Tribolium castaneum: one gene and its partner. The protein of the gene in region 1 purifies or fractionates together with the protein of each later gene. This does not show direct contact. Links are inferred from orthologs where the notes say so. Each region holds a gene or a part of one and is shown in the gene's direction. Other genes may lie near its edges.

Evidence for each region. The genes of interacting proteins can lie anywhere in the genome.
Region 2: the proteins of Ptpmeg2 (region 1) and Lztr1 purify together in Homo sapiens (affinity purification with mass spectrometry; 3 studies listed by BioGRID and IntAct, with this or other methods). This does not show direct contact. The link is inferred for Tribolium castaneum from reciprocal best matches to the Homo sapiens genes PTPN9 and LZTR1.

What each region holds. Positions count from the first base shown.
Region 1 is NC_087397.1:429,509-433,927, forward strand, and holds the end of Ptpmeg2 (tyrosine-protein phosphatase non-receptor type 9), read left to right. Parts: intron 1-1,152; coding exon 1,153-1,420; intron 1,421-1,470; coding exon 1,471-1,917; intron 1,918-1,969; coding exon 1,970-2,199; intron 2,200-2,250; coding exon 2,251-2,458; intron 2,459-2,584; coding exon 2,585-2,814; 3' UTR 2,815-3,299; downstream 3,300-4,419. Other genes in the region: uncharacterized protein LOC662698, read right to left, coding at 3,376-3,506, 3,555-4,399. UniProt on the Homo sapiens protein: Protein-tyrosine phosphatase that could participate in the transfer of hydrophobic ligands or in functions of the Golgi apparatus.
Region 2 is NC_087402.1:10,242,024-10,247,674, forward strand, and holds the start of Lztr1 (leucine-zipper-like transcriptional regulator 1), read left to right. Parts: upstream 1-2,231; 5' UTR 2,232-2,513; intron 2,514-2,595; 5' UTR 2,596-2,606; coding exon 2,607-3,158; intron 3,159-3,202; coding exon 3,203-3,366; intron 3,367-5,394; coding exon 5,395-5,651. Other genes in the region: FAST kinase domain-containing protein 1, mitochondrial, read left to right, coding at 1,163-1,391. UniProt on the Homo sapiens protein: Substrate-specific adapter of a BCR (BTB-CUL3-RBX1) E3 ubiquitin-protein ligase complex that mediates ubiquitination of Ras (K-Ras/KRAS, N-Ras/NRAS and H-Ras/HRAS).

The sequences.
Region 1 (4,419 bases):
GGCGTAACACACAAACACACTATTCGTCGTAATCATAATTTTACGTATCGTTTGTGCGCAAACTCGAATTGTGCGGCGTCGCGACGTCCATCGATTTAGTGACTGCATGAAATGTTTGATCTGTTGCTTGATTGTGAAAAAGTCGTCGTTTCGTTTGAGGAAATTTTAAGGGTTTAAGGTGGGTGTGTTGAAATAATGGTTTGCGAGTGTTTGGGGTGATTTTAGAGTTGAGCGGATGTGTTGATTTTTTTAGTCAGGTAAGGCATTACGTAAGGGGACGTATCAACGATTGTTTCTATTATTTGGAATAATAGACGAGTGATAAATTGTCGGTGTTGTAATTTTAGATTCGTGTGTGTGTTTGATGGAATAGACGCAGTTTGTGTCGTAAATTAACGCGAAATGTTTTCGGATGGTGTGGAGGGATTTTCCATGGAAATGATCAAGCGTATCGTTTCAGGAATTAATCAAGTGTTTGTTTTATTTATCTGACTGTTTTACTACTTATGTCATGAGATTTCCACCATATTGTTTCATACCTACACTTAATGTTTGCTCCAAAATGCGATGGTGCATAAATAAATTAAAATTAATTTAATCGCTAACCTAAAATATTGCGCATCATTCACAGCGTTACGAAACAGATATTATGCAGATTGGGTCACTCATGCATCGTGGGACGATCACTTTATAACAAAATAATAATTCAAATATTTTTTTGCCAAAAAAACATGTAAAAATAAAACACAGTTGTTACGGCTCTGCTTAATTCCAGATTATTATTACGTATCTGCATTAGTCACCTCAGCTAATTATTGGTTTTTTGGTAATGAAGTTTTACACTAAAAAAATTCATAACTCGAAAACTAAAAGTCGTAGAGCAACGCGGTTTGTTCCATTGAATTCTACGGCTCATTTCACATTAAAATAGTTTGTTTTTTTTTTCTCTAAAATTATACATGGTAATATAATAATTTTCCTCAAAAGAATTCGGTGAACAGTTACCGACGTGATTTATTTGTAACAAAGCCAATGGGTCAGTGCGATAATTTTTCATGAATTTAATGGCAAAAAAATGTTAATGAACGCATTGTTGCCGATTACCGTTGCTTTGTCTCTAAAACGCAATGCAAATGAAAATAAAATTTATAGGGCGGCTATCCGGCCAAACTTAAAAAGGTGCTGATCGTGACGGCCCCCTTGTGGTTCAAAGCCCCCTTCAAAATCCTGCGTCTTTTCGTCCGTGAAAAACTCCGTGAGAGAGTTTACACCGTTTCAGTGGCCCAACTTTTAACCCATATACCACGAGAATCTCTACCAACACAGTTGGGCGGCTCACTCATCCTGGACCATAATGGTTGGCTATCGTTGTGTTTGCAGTCAATGACCACTCGAGAGGAAACCTCATTGCCACAATATGGTCGGTGTTAACATATTATTGAATTATTGTAATTAAATAAAAAATTTTAGATGGCAAAACGCCATCACCCCAAAAACGCATTCGCACACCAACCGAAATCGAAATCTCGTCATCGACCAATAACATAAACGACACCTGGGCCGAAGAAGGCAATTTGAATCCGCCAAGTAGCGCATCGAGTGGTTTCTCTGACGATGATTCTTTGCATGGAGATGGGGCTGCACTTACAATGCCCCAATTGGTGGATTATGTGCGAGATAGGGGGCGTTCGGGGCTCATGCAGGAGTACGCAGAGATTCGGTCAAGGCCCCCTGATGGCACCTTCAACGTCGCCAAAATGAAAAACAACTTGCCGAAAAATCGATACACGGATGTGTTGTGTTACGATCATAGTCGAGTGATTCTCTCCGAAATCGATTGTGATAAAGACAGTGATTATATACATGCGAATTTTGTCGATGGGTATAAGCAGAAAAACGCGTTTATTAACACACAAGGTGAATATTGCATAATCACTCGGTCCTTCGTGCTATTAAATTAAAATTGTAGGTCCTTTACCGAAAACAACGCCCGATTTTTGGCGAATGATTTGGGAACAACATAGTTTAGTGATAGTGATGACGACTCGAGTGATGGAACGAGGGCGTCCCAAGTGTCACCAGTACTGGGAGACTGAAGTTGGGAGTGAAGCGAGTTATGGTCAATTCACTGTTAAAACTGTAGCTGTTGAAACCGATCCCGACTACACCGTCACAACTATTAATCTTATTAATAATAAAGTATGTGAAAAAAATTCATAGTTATGCATTCGAATTACAATTTGTTCATAGACCGACGAATCTAGGGAAGTTTCGCATTGGCAGTTTACGTCATGGCCCGATTATGGGGTTCCCCGTTCGGCTAAAGCCATGCTCGAGTTTCTCGAACGTGTGCGCCGAAAACAGAACGCTATGGTGGTAGCACTGGGTGATACATGGGCAGGGCATCCCCGAGGACCGCCGATTGTGGTCCATTGTAGTGCAGGAATTGGACGAACGGGTAAGAAAACACATTCTGTTCTTTACCAATTTATTTATTCAATTAAATTAACAAATTCCAACACATTAATTTGAAGTTTTTCAATAGAAATTTAAATTGATGAACAACTGTTTCTGTATTTTTTAGGGACTTTTTGTACCTTGGATATTTGTATATCCCGACTGGAGGATTTAGGAACGGCAGATATTCGAGGAACTGTCGAACGAATCCGATCACAACGTGCATATTCCATCCAAATGCCTGATCAGTACATTTTTTGTCATCTCGCTTTGATCGAATACGCCCTAATGAAGGGACACTTACAGTCGGCTGATTTGGCCGGATTCGATCCAGGCGCTGACGACGATTCGGACTAATTTTAATTCTGCTTCAAACTTTTTGTCTTGTGAACGACAAATTGTGATTCTTTTCTAAATTTACATATCGTTTTCTCAAATAAAACCGATCTTGTAATATGACAGCGAAAGATGGCGTTGCTAATGTGACAGGTCACTTTGATTGCGATGGAATATTACAAGTTTATTTTTATAATCCTAATTCAATGTTGGATGTACCTACATTTTTAAGCTTCCTTGAATATTTGAAACTAGGCTAATGAAATCAAGAACGATCTTGTTCTTTACATATAAAGACTGTCCAATAAAATGTAAAATTATTTATTTTGCAAAGCTTTAGGAACGCCCCGATTTGTGTTTTACCAAAAACAACTTCCATTCAAGAGGTTCAAGCCAAAACGTTAGTGTTTAACAATTTTTTTTGTACTAAGTATTATTGTGACATAGTTGAATTGTATTGTAAATATTGTATTCTGATTTCTTAATACAACAAAAAATGCTTTTTACTTTTGTCACGTTTTATTATCACGACACCAACAAAACCAGTATAAAATTATCAACAAAAATAACAACAAAATTTACTTAAAGCTTTGATTTAAGTGTGATTGCGTGCTGTTTCAAATGTCTCCGTAAAATCTTTCCTGACGGATTTCTCGGAATGGCATCAATGAACACAACACCTCCTCTCAATTGTTTCTGAGACGATACATTGTCTGCAAAAATATTAGTAAACAAAAATCAATGGTTAAATTAACAAGTACCGGCGACAAATTTTTCCAATTCTTTGTCAGTCGTCTCATGATTGGGTTTTTTCACAACAAAGGCCAGCGGTAATTCCCCGGCCCTTTCATCAGGTAGGCCGATAACAGCGGCATCTGCAACCGCCGGATGTGTGATTAACAAAGCCTCAAGTTCAGCAGGTGCCACTTGATAGCCTTTGTACTTAATAAGTTCTTTAATTCTGTCAACAATAAAAAAATATCCGTCCTCATCGTAGTAGGCCACGTCTCCGGTATGTATCCAGCCGTCTTGATCAATCGTATTGGCCGTGGCAACAGGATCGCCAACATAACCCTTCATAATCAAGGGCCCTTTAAAACAAACCTCGCCTTCTTTATACGGCCCTAAAGCCTTTCCAGTATCATCAATAACTTTGGCCATCATTCCTGGAACAATTTTCCCAACTGATCCGACTTTAGTTTTGCCCAAAGGACTGACTAGAATTCCTAACGTCGTTTCAGTCATTCCGTAACCTTGAGACACGTGGCCTACTTTAAATCGGTTTTTTAATTCACGTTCCATGTCTTTCCCCATGGGGGCAGCTCCTGTCCGAATTTCCTTAATTCCAGACAGGTCGTATTGTTTAGTAAGTGGGTGTTTCAGGAGCACCAACATGACAGGTGGTGGTACAACAAGTCGCGAAATTTTGTACTTTATGATAGCGTCTAGGAAAATTTTGGTTTTGAAACGACTCAAAACAACCATTTTTTTGCCGCGTAACAAATTCAAAAACATTAACATGAAACCCATTGAGTGGAAAAATGGGGCGAGACCCATCATGGCGTCGCTGGGATCGTCATTTTCGATTATTTGTGCCATGGTAACCCTAATGACAGTCCAATATAA
Region 2 (5,651 bases), on another chromosome or scaffold:
ACGCTTCAGAGGGAAATACGGTTCGGTTTCACCTCAGGCGCATTTTGCAGTAATTTTAAATTGCAATAACTTGGTGAGTCTTACAGATAACGAAATGATTCTTGCACCAAAAATTTATTTCAAGTATTAGCTTTATTTCGTCTCTATTATGTGGGAGTCTATCTTTTAAATTAAAAAACTTTCTCGCATCTCGAAAATTTCACTACACAATTATGCAACGTTACAAGAAAATGTATTTTTTTTGTTTCCCTTTATCAAAACTCAACCTTGTTAAACTACGTATAAATCTGCATTTATTGAAAATTTGTTTGCAAAAAAAAACGGAGTTTCTAGCTTTATCCAGAAGGAAGATATGAGTATGTAAACGCAAAATGTGTCCAATTTTAGGTGTTTGCAAATTATTAGCTAAAACGCCTTTTCAGCCCCTTCGCGAGGGTTGAAACAAAAAATTCTTTGTCTAAACAGTTTTTAATACTCTTTCCTAACTTATATCAACAGTGTAAGCTATTCCACAACATTTCGATTTAAAGGTTTATCTGACTGCAAGCGCGCGCCCATGCACTAACCTTCGCCCATAAAATTTCCTCACACTGTTTATCATAATGCTGGGAATACGATTGAAGATAAAAAAAGTGTAAGGAAAGTTGTAGAGAATTAAATTTCCTATAAAAAAATCCCCGACACCATATTTCTGTCTTCTACAGTTTAGTTATAAATTAACTTTCCGTTACTTGACCACCGGTAAAATGAAACGAATCCCTCGCTTCAACGTCTTTGAACATCTTTAGGGCCTAAACCTTTGACGTTCGAGATTTGGACTTTTTTCCAGTATCTTTAACCGTATTCATACCGTCTTGAACAATACGAGACGAAGCGCAAATTTTACATTTCAAATAATCTTTTTCTCATGTTTCAATCGTCAGTTTTTCTCAATCTGTAGAGAGTGCAAAGTTCAACATTTCTGCATTTTTCCCCAATAATTAATGAATTGGTTGGATTTAAATTAATTTAATACGAATTGGCGCCGAGACTCTATAACCCTCGATGCGCCACTCTGCCGAACTATTTTTTAGATTTAGGAAATCGTGCGATTTTGTATCTCGTTTCGTCTCCTAAGTTATAGTCCCCCGTAGTCGTAATTTTTCGTAATGAATTTTTCCAGACTGGCCTTGTTGTTACTGCCCGAGTTTGCGTGCACTAAAATTGTGACTCGGCTAAAAGGTCCTTTCCAGATGAAAAAACGCCACTTGGAAATCCTGGGGTACAAAGTGATTTTTGTTAAATCAAGCGACTGGATTGAGCTATATTACGCCGAAGATAGAGTGGATTTTTTGAAACAATTAATTTGGCCGAATTGTAACACGACGAATTTAAATAAAAACGTTAGATAAAATTTGTGTTTTTGTGGGTAAAAATTTATCGCGACTTTTTCGCTTTTATTCCAATCACCTCGAATTCAGTGTGGTTTCACGATGCCTAAAGAGAAGTTCGGTTATCCGGTTATGAGCATTAACCCTAGGGCCATTTTGCGCCTTAGGATACTCAATGAAAACAACCGAGTCATTTACCAACTGCCTGACGATTTTGTCGATAAATATCTTTGTAAAATCGTCGATAAGGTCATAGGTAAGCGAAAAAAACCCCACTTCCGTTCAAAAACCAAAATTCCAGAGGTAATTCGGGACCCGGATTACAAACACGAACCCGAAGAAGCGACGCATGTAATCACCGGTGACTTTTTCGTTTCTTTCAAACCCGAGGTGTTGGAGTTCTTAAGACTGCATCAACTTGAACTGATTTATCCTCTGATGATGCAAGCTTGCACCACTTCGCTCACACGCAATGCACACGACGTCGAAATGTGCGATATTCAGCCGATTATCGCCACGAAATACAAGGTGTGGATCAAAGGGAGCTCGGTTGAATATTTTGTGCAAAACAGGGCTCGTCCGAGAAGAGTTAACACTCAGAGATGGGTGCGCTCCCGGATTATGATCCACAGCAAGGTGAGGAACTTGGACGCACCTCCTCTTATACTGAATTTAACAAACTGTAATTAATTAATCTTGATTAAATGAATTTACGTGAAATGTGTTTTTATTTGAAAAATGGGTTTCCCCGAATTGGGGATTTTTGCCGGTTGGTACCCCTTATCCTAATTTTTTCAAATAACACGACAGGTCTCGGTGTTAAATTGGTGACTGTTCTGCCCTTCGACCAGATATATATATCTGGACGAGGGTTCTGCCCAAAAAGCATAATTTGTCACTCCGACAGCCCCCCTGATCAACCCCAAAGGACCGCACATTAGGATTATCGTGTCCCGACAGCCCCATTCGTATGAATAAATCCTCCGTTCGCAATAAATCGATGAAAACAAGCGTCTTACTGAGTCTGAGCGGAAGTGTTGTGTTTATGTGGGTGTTTTGACGTTTCATTCAACCCGACAAAACGAATTTTTTCGTAAAAACCTGCCTCGAGCATCGATGATGTAACAAATACTGTTTCTAGAGGTCAGTTTTAGAGTTTGTGTGCAAAAACTGCCCATTTTGATTGATTTTCGCTGAAAAAAAGTTACATAACCTCACTTTTCAGAGGTGTAAAAAATGAGCAGTTTGACCATTCTGGACGACGCCGCTCTCTACGACAATGCCCTCACGCTCGAGATCGGGCCGATGGAGACGGTCCACCGCTGGAAACGTATGCCCGAATGCGACGAGTTTGTGGGGGCGCGTCGTAGCAAGCACACAATGGTGGCCTACAAAGGGGCGATTTACGTCTTCGGGGGCGACAACGGCAAAAGCATGCTCAATGATTTGCTACGATTTGACGTGAAGGAGAAGTCATGGGGGCGCGCGTTTACCAACGGGTGCCCCCCAGCCCCCCGATACCACCACTCGGCCGTAGTCTACCGAAATTCAATGTTCGTGTTCGGGGGCTACACCGGGGACATCCACTCCAATTCAAATCTCACAAACAAGAATGATTTGTTCGAGTATAAGTTTCATTCAGGGCAATGGGTCGAGTGGCGGTTTTTGGGGGTCATGCCGGAGCCCCGGTCGGCGCATGGGGCTGCGGTTTATGACAACAAGTTGTGGATTTTCGCGGGGTATGACGGGAATGCCCGCTTGAACGACATGTGGACCATTTCACTTAATGTAATTATTCGTCAGTTTTTGCGGGGGTTCATTGCGTTTTTTAGGGGGATAGTCGCTGTTGGGTCAAGGTGATGCAAGTAGGGGAGTGCCCCCCGACTTGCTGTAATTTCCCGGTGACGGTTGCGCGGGAGCGTATGTTTGTTTTCAGTGGGCAAAGTGGGGCCCAAATCACAAACTCGCTCTTCCAGTTCAATTTCAACACTCATACGTATAGCCCCATTTTGTACTTACAGGGTATTCCAAATGTTACCGCCGCCAAAAATAAATACCGAGTGATTATTATAATAAAAAAATGTATTGGCAACACTGAGTTATTAGCAATTGGCATTCCTGCTAGTTAATTAAAACTTCAACGTTTAAATTTGATTGTCAAGGTGCTAAATTAACTGGCGACAAAAATAATAGTTTGAGGTCTAACAAAAAAAATATACAGCAACTAATACCTGTTCCTGAACTATAAAAACAGCTGTCACTTGTTACAATTGGATTTTTCTTTTAACTAGTGGTTTTTCTTGTCCATTTTTTCTTTTAAGTTTAAAAATAATTTAAAAATCATATATTAGCTGCTTCAAAACTATAAAAACGACAACGTTGCATTTGCTCCCAAAATTAGATGTTATAAATTATTCATGCACTTTAAGAATATAATAGCTAATGTAATTTATACTTTTAATGAGAAACCTAATCGTTAAGAACTATTTTACATTTTTATCAAACTTATTTAAAAAAATAATTTGGTAAAACAGCCAATAGTTTTTATTAAGGGGAAGGTGTAGATTCAAAAATTTAAAAAGTGGATTCCAAAATACTTAAATATGATGGTTACACAGATTATTACAAAAACTTGAATAATCCAGAAACACAATAACAATATTAATTACCATTTAAAATATAAAATCTTAAAAATTATTCGAAGTTGTATACTAATTTCAGATGAATATCATTATCCATTAGACAATAAATGTCACAAGTAATACCTCTAATGTGGGGTTTAGACGAAACAGTATATAATGTATTTGAAAACAATACTATCTTTTAAAATAAAAAATTTTGTCTACTCCCATTTTTTAATTGATTAATGAAAAATGTTTGTGACCTGTTTTTTAATGAAACACAGATACAGATTTTTCATTAATATACAGGTACGTAACCAATGGAATGCAGTGTGGCGACCACGAGGACAATTTGTTACCAATGAGAATGTAATATGGCAGCGACTATTAGATTGCCTTGAGTTTGGCATTTAAATATAAATTTGACATTTTGAAAAAAAAAATGTAAATGTTTTTATTTTAACCCATCGGATCGTAGAAAAAATAATGTATGTATACTCGCACATAATGACTACTAAGACTATAAGACTCTACGACATTCGCCAAGGCTCGTTTCATAAAGTTGTTATTTACGTTGCATTAACAGATTTAATGCCAAATTATTCAGTCTTCGGTTAATCACATACTAAAATTTATTTGTAGTTAATAAATGTTCTGTAAATCGACCTATTAGCTGTTTCAAAACTATAAAAACGCCAATGTCGCATTTTACCAAATTATTTTCTTAAATAAGATTGATAAAATTGTAAAATAGTTATTAATAATGAAATCTCACATTGAAACTAGAAATCACATCGGCTATTATTTCCTTAAGTGCGTAAATAATTTATAACAGCTAATTTTGAAAGGAAATGCGACGTTGGCATTTTTGTAGTTTTGAAACAACTAATACATCTATTTGCCTAATTTGCTTTTTAAATTTTAGTATTTAGTTTCTTGGAAATAAGAATGTGTGAAAATTTCAATACACAAATTCGTTCCTAATTATTTTTCATAAAAACCCGATTTTTTATGTGTTTTATGTTTGTTATGTAACTGAGCTAGATTTGTAAAATATAGTTAAATAAATACGTTTATGTTAATATGTGTTAATGCTAATGTTAATATGTGAATATGAGATTAATTTTGTGGCAAACAAAGTATTTGAATTGTGAGTTAAAAAAAATGTATAGTAATTGTACAAAAAGTCGCACAACTGAAAAACAAAGCAAAGTTTTATTCTCAAAATATGCTCACATTATTTATATAAATTTCTCAATATCAGTGAAGGCAATTACTAGCCAACACAGAAACAACATCTCGAAATAAAAAACCGTAATGCCTTGGTATTTTTGGTATTTTTTTTTGCGGGCGGTAAATTTTGAAATACCCATTACAACCCCCGGTAATAAATAACCTTGTAGCTGGACTCGGATTACCACCGACCATATTTTGAGGGGGGCCCCGCCGCCCCCTGCCCGGCGCTACGGCCACACGATGGTGGCTTTCGACCGGCATTTGTATGTCTTTGGGGGTGCTGCCGATAGCACTCTTTCAAATGATCTCCACTGTTTCGATTTGGACTCTCAGACGTGGTCCACGATTTTACCAGCGGCTGAGTCCTTTGTTCCTTCGGGGAGACTTTTTCACGCTGCGGCCGTTGTGGACGACGCTATGTTTG